4 linked regions of the Nothobranchius furzeri genome follow. The protein of the gene in region 2 purifies or fractionates together with the protein of the main gene of each other region. This does not show direct contact. Links are inferred from orthologs where the notes say so. Each region holds a gene or a part of one and is shown on either strand. Other genes may lie near its edges.

Evidence for each region. Proteins that work in one complex are often made in the same cells at the same time.
Region 1: the proteins of rprd1b (region 2) and rpap2 purify together in Homo sapiens (affinity purification with mass spectrometry; 5 studies listed by BioGRID and IntAct, counting the BioPlex papers as one, with this or other methods). This does not show direct contact. The link is inferred for Nothobranchius furzeri from reciprocal best matches to the Homo sapiens genes RPRD1B and RPAP2.
Region 3: the proteins of rprd1b (region 2) and polr2g purify together in Homo sapiens (affinity purification with mass spectrometry; 3 studies listed by BioGRID and IntAct, counting the BioPlex papers as one, with this or other methods). This does not show direct contact. The link is inferred for Nothobranchius furzeri from reciprocal best matches to the Homo sapiens genes RPRD1B and POLR2G.
Region 4: the proteins of rprd1b (region 2) and pdrg1 purify together in Homo sapiens (affinity purification with mass spectrometry; 3 studies listed by BioGRID and IntAct, with this or other methods). This does not show direct contact. The link is inferred for Nothobranchius furzeri from reciprocal best matches to the Homo sapiens genes RPRD1B and PDRG1.

What each region holds. Positions count from the first base shown.
Region 1 is NC_091751.1:71,621,043-71,625,134, forward strand, and holds the start of rpap2 (putative RNA polymerase II subunit B1 CTD phosphatase rpap2), read left to right. Parts: upstream 1-1,258; 5' UTR 1,259-1,333; coding exon 1,334-1,391; exon of another isoform or gene 1,392-1,424; intron 1,425-4,092. Other genes in the region: glmna (glomulin, FKBP associated protein a), read right to left, coding at 1,025-1,063.
Region 2 is NC_091755.1:32,651,938-32,656,168, reverse strand, and holds the start of rprd1b (regulation of nuclear pre-mRNA domain-containing protein 1B), read right to left. Parts: upstream 2,840-4,231; 5' UTR 2,185-2,839; coding exon 2,034-2,184; intron 1-2,033. UniProt on the Homo sapiens protein: Interacts with phosphorylated C-terminal heptapeptide repeat domain (CTD) of the largest RNA polymerase II subunit POLR2A, and participates in dephosphorylation of the CTD by RPAP2. Transcriptional regulator which enhances expression of CCND1.
Region 3 is NC_091741.1:90,872,840-90,876,826, reverse strand, and holds the start of polr2g (DNA-directed RNA polymerase II subunit RPB7), read left to right. Parts: upstream 1-1,153; 5' UTR 1,154-1,306; coding exon 1,307-1,318; intron 1,319-1,566; coding exon 1,567-1,676; intron 1,677-1,833; coding exon 1,834-1,993; intron 1,994-2,144; coding exon 2,145-2,195; intron 2,196-2,284; coding exon 2,285-2,350; intron 2,351-2,506; coding exon 2,507-2,578; intron 2,579-3,987. Other genes in the region: uncharacterized protein si:ch211-175m2.5, read right to left, coding at 246-345, 421-588, 654-707. UniProt on the Homo sapiens protein: Core component of RNA polymerase II (Pol II), a DNA-dependent RNA polymerase which synthesizes mRNA precursors and many functional non-coding RNAs using the four ribonucleoside triphosphates as substrates.
Region 4 is NC_091743.1:5,381,228-5,385,551, forward strand, and holds pdrg1 (p53 and DNA damage-regulated protein 1), read left to right. Parts: upstream 1-1,490; 5' UTR 1,491-1,561; coding exon 1,562-1,645; intron 1,646-1,784; exon of another isoform or gene 1,785-1,953; coding exon of another isoform or gene 1,954-1,983; intron 1,984-2,093; coding exon 2,094-2,169; intron 2,170-2,391; coding exon 2,392-2,466; intron 2,467-2,548; coding exon 2,549-2,629; intron 2,630-4,140; coding exon 4,141-4,223; 3' UTR 4,224-4,305; downstream 4,306-4,324. UniProt on the Homo sapiens protein: May play a role in chaperone-mediated protein folding.

The sequences.
Region 1 (4,092 bases), on a different chromosome or scaffold from region 2:
TATGAACAACAAACATGTTAGCAACATGCTACATCTACTGCTAAGTAAAGTCATGCTGCCCGCCCGGTGACCTTTTGATTCGGAATGTTCTTCCTTAAAGAAGGGTTTGATCTGAGGGCCAAGGCGCCAACCCTAACCCGACGGAACAAAGCAAAACACACGTGGGCCAGAACATAGAACTCACAGGATCTGAAAACCTCAGCAAAGGTAACCTTCTGGTGCTCTGGTCCATGACCTCCAGCATGCACCTGAGCGCTTCGGCGCTGAGTGACGCAGAGAAAAAGGGAGGGCCGTCTTTGTCTGAGGTGGAGGAGCTCAAACCACCTGTGTCTTGTTCCTGAGTGATGGTAGCACGCTGGAGACTGGAGTAGAACCAGCAACGCTACAGATCTCCCTCATCTCGCCCGATTCGGGTGTCGTCGCTTGGTTGCTGTTGTTTGGTAACTTGTATCTCAGATTTTGGTTTGTGTCACTGAACGCTGCACTGGGGCTCCCTGGGCCATTTAGCACAGCGATACTAAAGCTGCACATAGCCATGACTGAGAGCATCCTATCACCCAGCATGACGGTGTGGTATGGCAGCTGCATCGTCCAGAACAAAAAAGACCTGGCCAGGGTGGTGAAAACTGCTCAGTGGATCGTGGGGGGCCCACTACCAGATCTGGACTCTGGAGTATATACCATCCGACTACAAAGGAAGGCTAACCGTATCGCTGCTGATCCCTTCCATCCAGGTCACAAACTGTTGATGCCGCCACCATCGAGGAAGCGGTACAGGAATATCAAGGCCACAACCACCAGGCTGAGGAACAGCTTCTTCCCTAGAGCTGTTAAAGCCACGTGGTGGTGGTGAGGGACAATCTGAACATCAGTGGACAGGTAGGTGGACACACCAGACTCCACTGCCCTGCGTAGCTCGCGCCACTAAGTCACGAGTCAGATGGGTGGAGGGACAGAAACAGCCTCTGGGGCTTTGAGACGCCGGTGTGCAGCAGGAGGGATGACAGGACAACATGAGACTCACACATCTCTGGACCACATCACTGAGCTGCTCCAGAGCCATCGCTGCTGTCCTCGGATCAGCCGGAAACAGAGAGGCACTTCCGTTTGAAACAAGCTAGGTCCGCGCGAGGCCACCGCGAGCCGGAGCTTCAGTCGGAGACGCGAACAGAGCGGGAAGCTTCTGGAATCACAGCAGATAAAAACATCACACAAACCTTTCCTTCATGACCCAAACAAACCACATTTACATCTCCGATGCAGCGCGCCTTCCGGTTTGACCCCCTCAGCTACCGTAGAAACGTCACAGGTCAAAGGTGAACACAGAAGAAACATGGAGCTGGTGGAGAGCAGGAGGAGGAGAGGAGGCTCCACTAAAACCTCCAGGAAAGGTTGGTTTTTAATCCCAATCCAGAGTTTACCGGAAACAGGACAACGTTTTCACCCTCGTTACGTCCGTTCCGTGTTGATTTTCCGGTCCGGTTCGACCCAGCAGTGGAGCTTGTTCCCGTTCCGCTTTCAGCGGGAAGGTGGAACAGACTCGTTCTCTGTAGAAAAGAACCGAAACAAACCTGTCGCGGATCAGAGCTGCTCCTTCTGTAGTTCATCACCAGGTCCTTCTATAGTTCATCACCAGGTCCTTCTGTAGTTCATCACCCGGTCCTTCTGTAGTTCATCACCCGGTCCTTCTGTAGTTCATCACCCGGTCCTTCTGTAGTTCATCACCAGGTCCTTCTGTAGTTCATCACCAGGTCCAGGTCCTTCTGTAGTTCATCACCACGTCCAGGTCCTTCTGTAGTTCATCACCAGGTCCAGGTCCTTCTGTAGTTCATCACCAGGTCCAGGTCCTTCAGTAGTTCATCACCAGGTCCTTCTGTAGTTCATCACCAGGTCCTTCTGTAGTTCATCACCTGGTCCTTCTGTAGTTCATCACCTGGTCCTTCTGTAGTTCATCACCAGGTCCTTCTGTAGTTCATCACCCGGTCCTTCTGTAGTTCATCACCAGGTCCTTCTGTAGTTCATCACCAGGTCCTTCTGTAGTTCATCACCAGGTCCAGGTCCTTCTGTAGTTCATCACCAGGTCCTTCTGTAGTTCATCACCAGGTCCTTCTGTAGTTCATCACCAGGTCCTTCTGTAGTTCATCACCAGGTCCTTCTGTAGTTCATCACCAGGTCCAGGTCCTTCTGTAGTTCATCACCAGGTCCTTCTGTAGTTCATCACCAGGTCCTTCTGTAGTTCATCACCCGGTCCTTCTGTAGTTCATCACCCGGTCCTTCTGTAGTTCATCACCAGGTCCTTCTGTAGTTCCTCACCCAGTTCTTCTGTAGTTCATCACCAGGTCCAGGTCCTTCTGTAGTTCATCACCAGGTCCAGGTCCTTCTGTAGTTCATCACCAGGTCCTTCTGTAGTTCATCACCAGGTCCTTCTGTAGTTCATCACCTGGTCCTTCTGTAGTTCATCACCTGGTCCTTCTGTAGTTCATCACCAGGTCCTTCTGTAGTTCATCACCCGGTCCTTCTGTAGTTCATCACCAGGTCCTTCTGTAGTTCATCACCAGGTCCTTCTGTAGTTCATCACCAGGTCCAGGTCCTTCTGTAGTTCATCACCAGGTCCTTCTGTAGTTCATCACCAGGTCCTTTTGTAGTTCATCACCTGGTCCTTCTGTAGTTCATCACCAGGTCCTTCTGTAGTTCATCACCCGGTCCTTCTGTAGTTCATCACCAGGTCCTTCTGTAGTTCATCACCAGGTCCAGGTCCTTCTGTAGTTCATCACCAGGTCCTTCTGTAGTTCATCACCCGGTCCTTCTGTAGTTCATCACCAGGTCCTTCTGTAGTTCATCATCAGGTCATTCTGTAGTTCATCACCTGGTCCTTCTGTAGTTCATCACCAGGTCCTTCTGTAGTTCATCACCTGGTCCTTCTGTAGTTCATCACCAGGTCCAGGTCCTTCTGTAGTTCATCACCTGGTCCTTCTGTAGTTCATCACCAGGTCCAGGTCCTTCTGTAGTTCATCACCAGGTCCAGGTCCTTCTGTAGTTCATCACCAGGTCCAGGTCCTTCTGTAGTTCATCACCCGGTCCTTCTGTAGTTCATCACCCGGTCCTTCTGTAGTTCATCACCAGGTCCTTCTGTAGTTCATCACCCGGTCCTTCTGTAGTTCATCACCAGGTCCAGGTCCTTCTGTAGTTCATCACCAGGTCCAGGTCCTTCTGTAGTTCATCACCAGGTCCTTCTGTAGTTCATCACCAGGTCCTTCTGTAGTTCATCACCTGGTCCTTCTGTAGTTCATCACCTGGTCCTTCTGTAGTTCATCACCAGGTCCAGGTCCTTCTGTAGTTCATCACCTGGTCCTTCTGTAGTTCATCACCTGGTCCTTCTGTAGTTCATCACCAGGTCCTTCTGTAGTTCATCACCTGGTCCTTCTGTAGTTCATCACCAGGTCCTTCTGTAGTTCATCACCTGGTCCTTCTGTAGTTCATCACCAGGTCCAGGTCCTTCTGTAGTTCATCACCTGGTCCTTCTGTAGTTCATCACCCGGTCCTTCTGTAGTTCATCACCCGGTCCTTCTGTAGTTCATCACCCGGTCCTTCTGTAGTTCATCACCAGGTCCTTCTGTAGTTCATCACCCGGTCCTTCTGTAGTTCATCACCAGGTCCAGGTCCTTCTGTAGTTCATCACCTGGTCCTTCTGTAGTTCATCACCAGGTCCAGGTCCTTCTGTAGTTCATCACCAGGTCCAGGTCCTTCTGTAGTTCATCACCAGGTCCAGGTCCTTCTGTAGTTCATCACCCGGTCCTTCTGTAGTTCATCACCCGGTCCTTCTGTAGTTCATCACCAGGTCCTTCTGTAGTTCATCACCCGGTCCTTCTGTAGTTCATCACCAGGTCCAGGTCCTTCTGTAGTTCATCACCAGGTCCAGGTCCTTCTGTAGTTCATCACCAGGTCCTTCTGTAGTTCATCACCAGGTCCTTCTGTAGTTCATCACCTGGTCCTTCTGTAGTTCATCACCTGGTCCTTCTGTAGTTCATCACCAGGTCCAGGTCCTTCTGTAGTTCATCACCTGGTCCTTCTGTAGTTCATCACCTGGTCCTT
Region 2 (4,231 bases):
GCAGTGAATTAAATCATCTCAGAGGAGTAAATGTGTGTGGGGTGTACATAATAACGTAAATTCAGCTTTAATAATTTTCATTCTTTACAAAATCTGTTGATTTTAGAAGCATAAACTCATTCGCTGCCAGCTGTTTCCTGATCGCCAACGGCCTTCGCTGCCAGCGTTTCTCACCGTTTTTACAGTTTTTTTAAGAGTCACAGAACGTTGTGCGCTAGGATGATGTCGACGCCAAAACAACCAAAACTAAGAGTAGACTCGCCTCTTACATCAGGAAGAATCCGCGTGTTTTGAGCGTTATCCATTCTTTCATAATCCGTTATCGAATTGTGATCGGCAGACGCTTTTCCGGTTCGCGCCTCACTTTTTTACAGGAACGGCCCAAAACGATCTCCTAATACATGGATGTTCTGCTTCCTGATCACATGACGTGTGACGTATGCAGATGAAGATCGGCGTCAGGGCTGAGATGTTTGTTCTCTCAGCACGGGGGCTCGTTCCGAAGCTCAAACTAAAAAAATGCAAATGACGACTTTAGTCGTCAATGGCAGTGAATGAGTTTATGTCAGTATATCGGTATCGGCAAATATCGGTTGTCGGCTATAACAGTGATCTTAATATCGGTATCGGCCCTAAAATTTCATAGCGGCGCCGGTGCATCACTACTTCTCTTCATCTAGTTTACTGCAACTTGTTTATGACTGTGTTACAGTGAATCTGCAAGAAGAAACTATTTGACTCATTAACTGCCACTGACGACAAAAGTGGTCATTTGCATTTTTTTACTGTGTGGGCGTCGGATCGAGTTCCTGCACCGTGAGAACAAACATCCCAGCTCTAAAGCCGATCTTCATCCATGTACATTATATGTCACGTGATCAGGAAGCAGAAAACCCATGTGATAGGAGATCGTTTTGGGCCGCTGTTGTAAAAAAAAGTGAGCGAACCAGAAAAGTTTTTGCCGATCACAATTCGACAACGGATTATGAAAGAACGGATAACGCTAGAAACACGCGGATTCTTCCTGATGTAAGAGGTGAGTCTACTCTTTCTTCTGGTAGTGTTGGTGTTGACATCATCATAGAGCTCTATGTTCTGTGACTCTTAAAAAATAAACAGTGAAAACGCTGAAAAACGTTGGCAGCGAAGGGCTTTTCTGATCAGAAAATGACTGGCCGTTAAGGAGTTAAAAAGATGAAAGAAAATACATTTATTTGATGTTGATATTGATAGTGTCACTAACTTAAAAGTGACATTTCAAGACTCTTAACTCATCATCATTGCAACCCAGCTCTCACAGCTGATGCACATTCATTCATCCATCCGTTGTCTTCCACGTACCCGGAGACGGGTCGTGGGGGCAGTAACCTAAGCAGAAATGCCCAGAATTCCCTCTCCCCAGCCACTTGGGCCAGCTCTTCCAGGGGAATTCTAGGGCGTTCCCTGGCCAGCCGACAGACAATAGTCCCTCCAACGTGTCCTGGGTCTTCCTTTGAGTCTCTTCCCGGTTGGACGTGGCCAGAAAACCTCACCAGGGAGGCGTCCAGGAGGCATCCTGACCAGATGCCCGAGCCACATCAATTGGTTCCTCTCGATGTGGAGGAGCAGCAGGTCTACTCCAAGCCCCTCCCGGATGACCGAGCTTCTCACCTAGGGAGAGCCCAGCCACTCTGCAGAGAAAACTAAATTTGGCCGCTTGTATCTGCAACTTCACTCTTTCGGTCACTACCAAAAGCTTGTGACCACAAATGAGGATTGGAAAGTAGATCGACCGGTAAATCAAGAGCTTACTCAAAAACAAAACATGGATACTGATACTACTTGTACGTCCTGAATAATATACCGCATGGATGGAGTTATTTTCTATGCTTTCTCTTCCATGTTTGATGTAAACATTGGAAGAATTGAAAAGCATCTGCTTATTAATACGTTTGTTAAAATCTGCTTGAAATATGTGACTCCAGCTCATCCTACAACAGCTTTAACTTCATTCAGGGCTATGATCGGACAAGGATCCTGTTGTTATATCTCACCTTTTTTGAGTTCTCGGTGCCAGACTTTGACGATGAGAGCCGAGTGTTTGCGGTGGTGGATGATCCACAGAGACAGAGTCTGGACGCTCTGCTGAGAGCTGCTCAGCTCCGACAGCTTCTTCTCCAAAGCAGATTCCGAAAAGGACGACATGCCAACTGGTTCTAGAGTGTCTAATTCCACTAAAACTGACCCCCACTGGCTCTAAAGCAACCGAGCTCCGAGCTATTTTGGAGAAACTCGCCCAGTCATCAAAACTCAAGTTGTGTCGCTAAACTCGTAGACTTACAGCATTGGACAGCTTTCTACTGCCGGTTACAGATATATATATCTAACGGTAGGAAAGCACTTAAGGAACTAAAGAGCTAACCAATACTTGCTGAAGATGCTTCAATAGCGTAGCTGCTGAATCTTTGTTGAATGCTGTTTGTTTACAGCGATTGCTAACGTTAGCTAGGCGAGCTAAGCAGCCATCTGCAGAACAGTGCAGCCCTGGAGCTCCTCTTCTCTTAACTACGTAAAACAAACACAAAAATCCACAATATTCCTTTTTGAGGTGTTCCAAGCGATGATGTATAAAAGACAATAGCAAAAAATAATTTAAAAAACAACTCACAAACTAAGTTTCTCGCCCTAAATCATGAAAAAAATGCCTCGAAAAATGGCAGCTTGCACTTTCACCTCGACATGTGCGTCGCAGAGAAATGACGTGACAGAACCCGCGCATTATCGAACTGGCAAAACAAAGGCAAAATACACTGTAAAATACTCTAAACACAAAATTGCAAACTCTTATGAACACACAACTCTTTTTACAGAGTTGAATACGTTTCTAATCATTCTATATTTGTTTGCTCACCCAATTTATTTGGCTTAAAACATAATTAAAATTGTATTCATGTAAAGTGTTTACCAAAATGGCTGTCTGGACTTTTTAATTGACTTTTTATGAAGGAGGAGGGCTGTTAATTTCCCACCAGTGGCGAAAAGCTGGAACTGCACACTGCACAAGTATTCTGTTATCAATTTAGAAAAGGAGATGGGGGATTTGGCGCTTCCTAGTGGCATAATGCTGGTGCTGCACTCTTGTTCTGTTAACTATTGAGAATAATGGGGAGATTGAGATTTGGCGCCCCAAGTGGCAACTAACGTAAACTACACCATTGTTCTGTTAACATTTTAGGTTCATGTGTGATGATGCAGTCATTACAATTGCCACATTAGTAAATTAAAATAAATTTAGTACATTTTAAAAATAAAACTTGACTTGCATTGTCAGAAAAATAATAGTAAAAACACAATTCCTGCAACTCTGTAAGCAAACGATTCCATTAGATTTGGTCTTTTAGTCCACTTTAAATCATTAAATAAAATTAATAATTAGATAATCGCTTGTAGCTTGTGTGTATAATAATTTGTCAGTTGCTCACAATGAAAGAAAATGACTGTAAAACATAAACTACAAATCTAGCATACACTGAACTACATGCATTTATTATAACTTGCCTTGTGAAAGAGACAAATGTAATCCAAGTTTGGATGCTCTTCTTGCAGTTTAAGTACATCTTAATAAATAATTTTCTAAATGGCAGCATCACCTTTTTACAAAGCTGCTGTTTGTCTTACCTCGGCTGCTTTTGGTTTCCCAGCTGAACAAACAGTAACTGTGTGTTTATCTTACCAATCACCAGACATTTGTTCTGACGGAAACCAAAACTCAAATTTTAGCCCAGATCTTTGAGTTAAAACAAACTAATTTTCATGATCATTTGCCTTCTTTTTACTGTGGCTGATAAAATACACACTATTCCATTCAAAACAATGGGTTTGGGATCTGCACACATGGACCTTCAGTCAAATATCAGTGCAAAAGATGTGTATTATCATTTGAGGTTCAAATATCAACCAAAATGCAAACCATGGTGCACCTGTACAGATTTTTTTTCAATAGGCAGCAAACTAGATGGAAAACAAATGTAGTTTTCATCTGGAGTGAGATCTCTGTTATAACCAAAAAAATCAACAAGACCAAAACAAATCAGATCCAGAACTAAGCTCATTGTTTACAGTAAATTGAGTTCAGTTGTGACTGCAATTAAATAAAAAAGATGATAAAATTCCAGTCAGTCATGTTTACCTAATATATATATATATATATATATATATATATATATATATATATATATATATATATATATAT
Region 3 (3,987 bases), on a different chromosome or scaffold from region 2:
AACAAATCCAGCATCACAGCTTCTACAAAAGGTTATCCTCTAGTCCTGTTGAGTCATAACACAGGACAAACATCCTTATTTGCAACACAAATAAGAAGTGAACGAAGTGTTTAGTTCACTGAACCCTGGCTTGGACACGTTGGGAGGGTTGAAGGTGCTGAAGAACGGGTTGCTTTTTATTCTAAACACTGCATCGTGTGTCTGTATTTATCTGAACTGAGGCCACTACATCAGAAAAAACCAACCTGTGTCCTTGTTCATCAGTTCATTGTAGTAAGCGAAGAAGGCTCTGAACTCAGCTGGTCTGTGGGAGAGGGCTTTGAAGACATTTGGCAGGAAGCCTCCCTGTGCACAAATATGAGCAGATTAATGATAAAGGCGTGTGATCGCGAGACCTAAAGGCTGGTTTTAATTTAAAACCTTTGACTCCACTTCCTCCATGAGCTCAACTATATCATAAGGCAGGTCCTTCTTGTAAGGAATGGGATAGCGGCTGATCTTCTCCGGAAGGGTGCCGGAGGACGGTCTGGTCCCAGCCGCCACTGCAGCCACCTTACCCCGAAACAAGCGACCCGACCGGAGACACGCCTGCACAGACAGCCGAAGAGTCAGATAAACAAAACACACAATCAAATCTACGGTTCGCTACTTACAATTTTAGAGGTGACAGGAAGACGAAGCAACTTGAAAACGAGGTTGCTCGCCATGACAGAAGGAGGACTTGGAGAGTAATTTTAACCACGGAGACAAAATTCCTATTTTCTTTCTAATGATGTAGCAGAATTGTTTATTTTAATCTATTTCGTTCTTTAAAACTTCAAACCACCTGTAGTGTGGTCCCAATGACCGCTAAACAACATGACGATTGTGCTAAAGTTGGATTACTTTCACCTAAATAAATTGTTTTCGCTTCGTCTGTGTGTCAGATAAGAGTCCACTAAAAAACAGCCAATCACAGAGCGGCTTTCAGTCACGCCTATTGTTTTCCACGCCTCTCTGCAGTAATACTTCCTCGCCACAAGAAAGCAGTATTAAAATGAACCGACGGTGGAACTCGTTTAAATCGGATTACTTATTCCGTTAATTGTTTTTAAATAAACAGTTTTTAAAAATCCCTGAAGATAATTTTATTTTTTTTATTTCCCGTTACAATACAATTTACAACAAAATTTCAAGAATCCTCTTTGACCCGGAAGAGGTTCTTCTACGCCGGACGTCCATGATTCCCTTTCAACAAAGAACAAGAGAAGCCACTTCGACGTATTTAAAAGTATATTTTTAAGGTGGAATTTAAACTTATCAAGAAATGTTTTATCACGTGAGTATGTACATTGTTCTCGTAATCGGGGGTAGCTGAAGGCTTAATGGATGTTTCGATTTGGATCGTTTATCAACAACGTCGTAGTCTTTCCCTCTTCTTCTAACCTGGACTAGTTTTCATATTTTTAATCAACGTGACATTTTATTCATCCATTACTCAATCTACAGAGGCTGGTTTATGCATTTTTAAAATACGAACGTGTGCACAACCAATTTACAGATGAAGGATTTTGTTGCACTTTACAGATTTCTTTGGAGCATGAAATCCTTCTCCACCCCAGGTACTTCGGTCCCAATCTACTTAACACCGTGAAGCAGAAGCTTTTCACAGAGGTAGAGGGAACTTGTACTGGCAAGTGAGTAACAGCATTTTATTATTGTTCATGATAACTTTAACTGGGCTTTGCAACGACTGAAAGCGTTAATGAAACATTGACTATGGCATAACTAGATCAACGTGTTGCTGCCTTGTTAAAAAGTTGGATTAACTCTTTTGTTTTTTCTGTTTCCCAGGTATGGATTTGTCATTGCAGTAACCACTATCGACAACATCGGAGCGGGTGTCATCCAGCCAGGCAGAGGTTTTGTCCTCTATCCAGTCAAGTACAAGGCCATTGTTTTCCGCCCGTTTAAGGGCGAGGTGGTGGACGCTGTGGTCACTCAGGTTAACAAGGTATGGCTCACTCATCTTTAGTCATTGTTCTTCGTAGCAGATCTTAATTCTTTAGCAGAACTTCACGCTTGTGAAAACTAAACAAATTGAGGATTGTTATGCCAGTACGTTTGCGCCTCGCCTTTTTTAACCTTTTTCTGTTTGCTTGCAGGTTGGATTGTTCACAGAAATCGGTCCCATGTCTTGCTTCATCTCTCGCCATGTAAGTCTGTTAAAGCATCGGTTTCACTAGAATCATCTTTTTATTTCATTATTTATTTAATGTTGTTTTGATCATATTTTTATTTTCAGTCCATCCCCACAGAAATGGAGTTCGACCCCAATTCTAATCCACCTTGCTACAAGACTGGCGATGAGGTTGAATATCTGTAACTTTTCTATTTTACTGCTGCTTGTTTAAACAGTCATATTAATAAAAATCAACTTCAGCATGTAAAAAGTTCTGCTTTTTTTCCCCCTAATGTGTAAATGTTGCTCTATCACACTTTTGTTGATGCTTCTTACTTTTTATAGGACATTGTAATCCAGCAAGATGATGAGATCCGGCTGAAGATCGTGGGAACACGAGTCGACAAGAATGACATTGTGAGTTTATGTTCTTTTTTAAAGTCACTACAGTTGTTTAGTTCATGTTTCCTTATTACTTCATATTATTTATACACACTGCCTGGCCCAAAGAAAAGCTGCCATCCAAAAAACGTCACACATTCCAATACTTCGTTGGACCACCTTTAGCTTTGATTACGTCACACATTCGCAGTGGTGTTCTTTCGATGAGCTTCTCCAACGTCACCAGATTTGTTGCCATCCAGTGTTGCATTAATATTTCACCAATATCTTGCATTGATGGTGGTAGAGTCTGACCGCTGCACAAATCCTTCTCCAGCACATCACAAAGATTCTCAATGAGGTTGAGGTCTGGACCGTGGTGGCTGATCCATGCGTGAAAATGCTGCCTCATGCTCCCTTGGGGCGACGGTGGCACAGGAGTTAAGTGCTCGCCCCGTAATCGGAAGGCTGCAGGTTTGAGCCCCGCTCAGTTTGTTATTGTGTCCTTGGGCAAGACACTTAACCCACATTGTCTGCTGGTGGTGGTCGGAGGGACCGGTGGCGCCAGTGCTCGGCAGCCTCGCCTCTGTCAAAGCACCCCAGGGCAGCTGTGGCTACTAGTGTTGTCAAAAAAATCGATACCCAGATATAAATCGATACTAAAAGTGGTATCTAAATGAGATATTCCATCCCTGTGGTATCGATATTATGGACTATTATACACAGCCTTCTTCAAGTACACCGACACGCACGACAGCCAGATGCCGTAAAGCAGCCTCCGCCTCCCAGACAAACAGAAGAAGAAGACGCCGCATGGCTACATTGCAATTTCCCACGCGAGTTGTCTCCGATCCAAGTTTTGTCTGCCAAATAAATAAACAAAAACATAAACAGCGAATTTGGGAGGCGCTTCACAGCCCAACTTAATTAGCATACCAAGTCCAACACGTAGTTGTATATTCACGCTTATGTGCTTAAAGGAAAACTCCTGTTTATTGCAACCCGGACTTAATTTCTAGCATGCAGTACGTTTGTTTACTCACGCTGACAACTTTGGTGCTACTTGGCAGAGGTGGAAAGTAACGAATTACATTTACTCACGTTACTGTAATTGAGTAGCTTTTTTGTATATTTATACTTTTTAAGTCGTTTTTAAAAGCTGTACTTTTACTTTTACTTGAGTAAGTTTTTAAAAAAGAATTGTAATTCACTACATTTTAAATGATATCCATTACTGAGTAAAAATAAATTATAGGCTTAATAAATTAAAAATATTACGTGTTGCAGCGTCGGAACAGAAAGAGACACCTGCATGATCACCGCGTCTTTTGCTCAAAGACATCAGTTCAGTCGATCAACTCGCTGTTTACCTCCTCTCTCTCTTCTCTCCTGTGGGTTGGAACCCGCACCTTCGCGCACCGGTGTGACGTCATCAGAAATCTGCT
Region 4 (4,324 bases), on a different chromosome or scaffold from region 2:
TTTCAGAGAAGCTGATTTATTATGAAGTTCTGACTAGCCTGGTGCGTGGAGCTGGGGTGTCATTACAGTGTCCTCAGATGAAAAAGCTTGACTTTGATCATTTTTCATATACTGGCCCACCTCTGTTTATTACACTTAAACACACTAAATCATTGGCCCAGTTTTAATATTTACATGAGTAGTCTTAAACTCAAACTTCAAACCATTAAAAGGTTCCCAAACCCTCAAGCATTTCATCTATAAGTGTTACTGTAGCCTAACCTGGTGAGCCAGGCCCATGGGGGACCAGCTGAGGCTCCTGTGGAGCGAGGCTATACCCACAAGCTGGGCTCAGTCTCCTCCACCGGATGTGTACCGGGAAAGTTTGGCTCCAAAAGAAAAGTTATCGCTTCCAAATCAGAACTTATGCTCTTTAAATCAAGAACATTTAAACTGTCACAAGTATAAAAAGTACTTATTTGAGTGTTGCTGCGTTTGAATGAGGAAAATGTGGAAAATTGAAAGTCTGAAAACTGTTTCTGGAATATTTGGGTCCATTTTCAAACCTGGTCAGTTCATTACACCCGTGACCACCGTGCGTGTAATGTTGCTTTTAAGTCCTGTCCATCATGAAACTTGGTTTAAAGGCGTTAATGCTGAGTCCACTCTTATTTTATGTGACAATAACAGATGTTTCTGGAAGGGATTCAGCTGAAGTTTCAGGAACGATGGACTTTTTTCTATTGGTCCAAGGAAAATGATTTGTAATTTGTTTGTTTTGCACAGTAACTTGTACATTTTGACTATAATACACAAAGGTGTGGACTCGAGTCACATGACTTGGACTCGAGTCAGACTTGAGTCATTATTTGAATGACTTCTGACTTGACTTGATAAAATCTATAAAGACTTATGACTTGACTGGACTTGAACACCAGTGACTTGTGACTTGAATCGGCTTGCATCTGTTGACTTGATGATGACTTGAGAATGTTTGATATTTTGTCACAGAAGTGGCACGACATGGACAAAAATCATAAATCATTCTTGGTTCTGGGTTTGATTTACTGCTGAATGCAGCAGCGCTTTGTTTATAACCAGTCTCAGTTTCTGCTTGTTTGAGCAAAAAAAAAGAAGCTTTAAGAAGGTTTTTTTCTGGAATTAATTTATTATCATCGTCATTAAATAGAAGTTGGACAGATGGCTTGATTATCACTTGAAAATTCAAAGTTAAGGACTTGACTTGGACTTGGTTGTCTTTGACTTGGATTTGACTTTAGACTTGAATGGAAAGACTTGTGACTTACTTATGACTTGCAAAGCAGTGACTTGGTCACACCTGCTATACATGAAGAATTTGAGCCCACTTGGACATGCTTTTGAAAATGTTTTTCCTATTTATTTAGTTTATGATGAGAATATTTACAAAAATACAGAAAAACATTTGTATGTGGAGTATGTACAGTCTATGGTCACACCTCTGAAAATACATTTGTGAAAAGCTTCGCGGCGGATGCGGAGGTGACCTCTCTCCAGCAGGGGGCGGTAGTCCACCGTTAGCCCAGAAGAAGAAGACTCAAAGATGGACGACGCTTCTCTGCGTGTTTTGGAGCGCTTGACTGAAGTGGAAGAGGCGGCTGAGGATGTTCTCACCGCCAAACAACAGGTAAACACATCCAGACCCACCGTGGCCAGGCTGGTTCTGTGAGACCCGTAGCGGGTTACAGCTGCTAGCTTCATGCTAACAAGTGTGAGTGGAAGTGACGTACGCGGTGAGACCCGTAGCGGGTTACAGCTGCTAGCTTCATGCTAACAAGTGTGAGTGGATGTGACGTACGCGGTTTTCAGACGCAGTTCTGTGCGTTAGCAGCTTTATGCATGAGGATTTTAGCGGTTGGAGCCAAGAGAGCTAAGTTCTGGTGTTGGTTCAACACTTCATTTACCCGTCACCACACCGATGTTGTCTAGAGTCAAATGTCCTTCTGTAGCTGGTCCAGTCAGGTGGTGCGTTCATGATATCTGAAGAAAACTGTTGTTCTAAAACCACACACACACGCACGGATATCCCAGTTAATAATGTCCTCCCTTAAAACAAACGTGTGTGTGTGTTTCAGATTGTTGACCTGGACATGAAGAGAAACTTCAACAGAGAGGCGCTGAACGCACTGAAACATGAGATGTCGGATAAAGGTTTGTGATCCATCAGCACTCAGGCCACCAGAACACCACAGAGGAACCCTTGTAGCTACAACAACCAAACGTTCCCATAAAGCTGGAACATCCGTCTGTTATTATTGCCTAAAGGAACACGTGTAATCTGTAAATAATCTCAGGCTAATTATGAAACTCGTGGTTGTTTATTGGTGACCCTGGTGATGAAGGAGTAATGGCCGCCTCTGCTGCCGTCCACAGAAAAAGTCAAGGTTTGCTTTGGAAACATGTTCATCAAGTTCTCCAAGTCTAAAACGACGCAGATGATCCGGAAAGGTGATCCTTTATCGTTTACAAGTTAGATCTTCCGTTTTTAACACGAGTCGAATTTAGTCTGAGCCGTTTCTCCAACCTGCAGACCAAGAGCAGCTGGACAAGGAAATAAACCACCTTCGCAAAGAGCTGAGAACTAAAGTCGGTCGTCTCAACGAGATCGAAGGTATGTGTGTTGTGACACATCAGCGGTTCCATCCACCACACTAATGATTCAAGCACCGGTACTACAGACCCTTGTTCACCTCATAGATCCTCACGAAACAGCAGTCTCCGGATCAGAATGGACCTGGAACCATTTCTTCATTTAACATTTATTTTATGGGCACTAAATGAAAGCTAAAGCTTTTTAAAGAGTTTATTATTCTGGTTATTATAATAATAATGATAATAAATGTGACCATTAATTTGGTTGCAGTCTCTCGGACACTTCCTAAACGTTTAGTGTGCTCATTTAGAAAATATTTATCGTTTGTTAGAAAAGCAACACTGGAAACTAATCCTCCAGCTTCATATTGTTTTAATGAGAGGTCCATTTTCATAGCAGGACATTGTTGTTCGTGAACTGCATCCTAGTGAGCACACTTCTCTTCATTATGAGGCACAAACAGTAAGAAACTCTGACTGCAAAGAAAATAATCAGGAACTCGATGAAAAAGCACCGACACTGGGATCCTGGTGTTGGAGGTCTAGACTCGTCAGACCAGGCAACGTTTTCCGGTCCCTTCTGGTGATGCTGTGGGGATTTGAGGCCCAGGTTCCTGTTGTTGGCTGACAGCTGGTGTGGTCTTCTGCTGCTGGAGTCCATCTGGTGCTGGGTTAGGGTTGAGTGTCTGTTTCAGAACTAAAGGTTCTAGTTCAGTGAGCTGTCGGCCCAAAGCACCAGCTGTCTCCCAACAGGTGTTGTGAATCCTTCCGTGTGATAAGTTGTTGGATCTGAGTGGAGAAAGAGTTAGTAGTGATGACCCGTTTTATCACAAAACGCCGCTCTGACACATTTTTCACGCGTTCTTTGGCTTACCGTAACAGTTTTTGTCTTCTGAAACATTCAGGCGGCTTCTGAAAGAGAAGCGTCACAATAATAAATTATTTTCAGTTCCTGCAAGAAGTGGACGGCTCAGCCTCTCCGTCTCACACTCAGACAACGACAGACGACCACAGCTGTAAATAGAAATGACCGTGGTCGGGCCACGAAAAGGACAAAACCCTGGAAAAACGACCAAGTTCCCCGTGTGGTCAGCTCAGTCACTGGGCTCCTGCAGCCCACACACCCAACCCCCCAACTGGGCTCGCCCCGGACCTGTACAATAGTAGACACAACAGATCCCGGGTCAGTCAGGAACGCTGGAAAGGAGATCAGATTTGAGGATCACATGATCACGGTTTTATTTATTTCAGACTTTCACTCCACAGGGGCGTGTGCTGAGCCCCACCTGCACGAACCACTCGTGTGGCTGTTCTGCTAGCACCTGCACCTGAAGCTTATCAGTGATGTTGGTGTTGTTGGTTTGATCTCACACGACGAGCAGCTGGCGTGAGTGATGGCGGTGCCGGAGCTGATGGGTGTTTGGAAAACATTTATTTGTTGTTTGAGTTGATCCTTTGAAGCACCTCATGTTTGTCTGTAGAGTATTTGTTGTTTGTGATATTTTTTCTTTGTTGTTTGCTTGCTTTCAGGAAATCCTGAGCTGAGAGGTTATAATCTGTCTCCTCTATCCTCTGATGAGATGAAAGCTATCACCAGCCTTCTGAAGAGATGAGCAGCTAACTGCTGAGGACGAAAACGCCGACGTGTTAAACCCAGTTTCTGTACAGCTCTGCTCAATAAATCCAGGACAGTAACTGATGTTGTTGAAGCTGA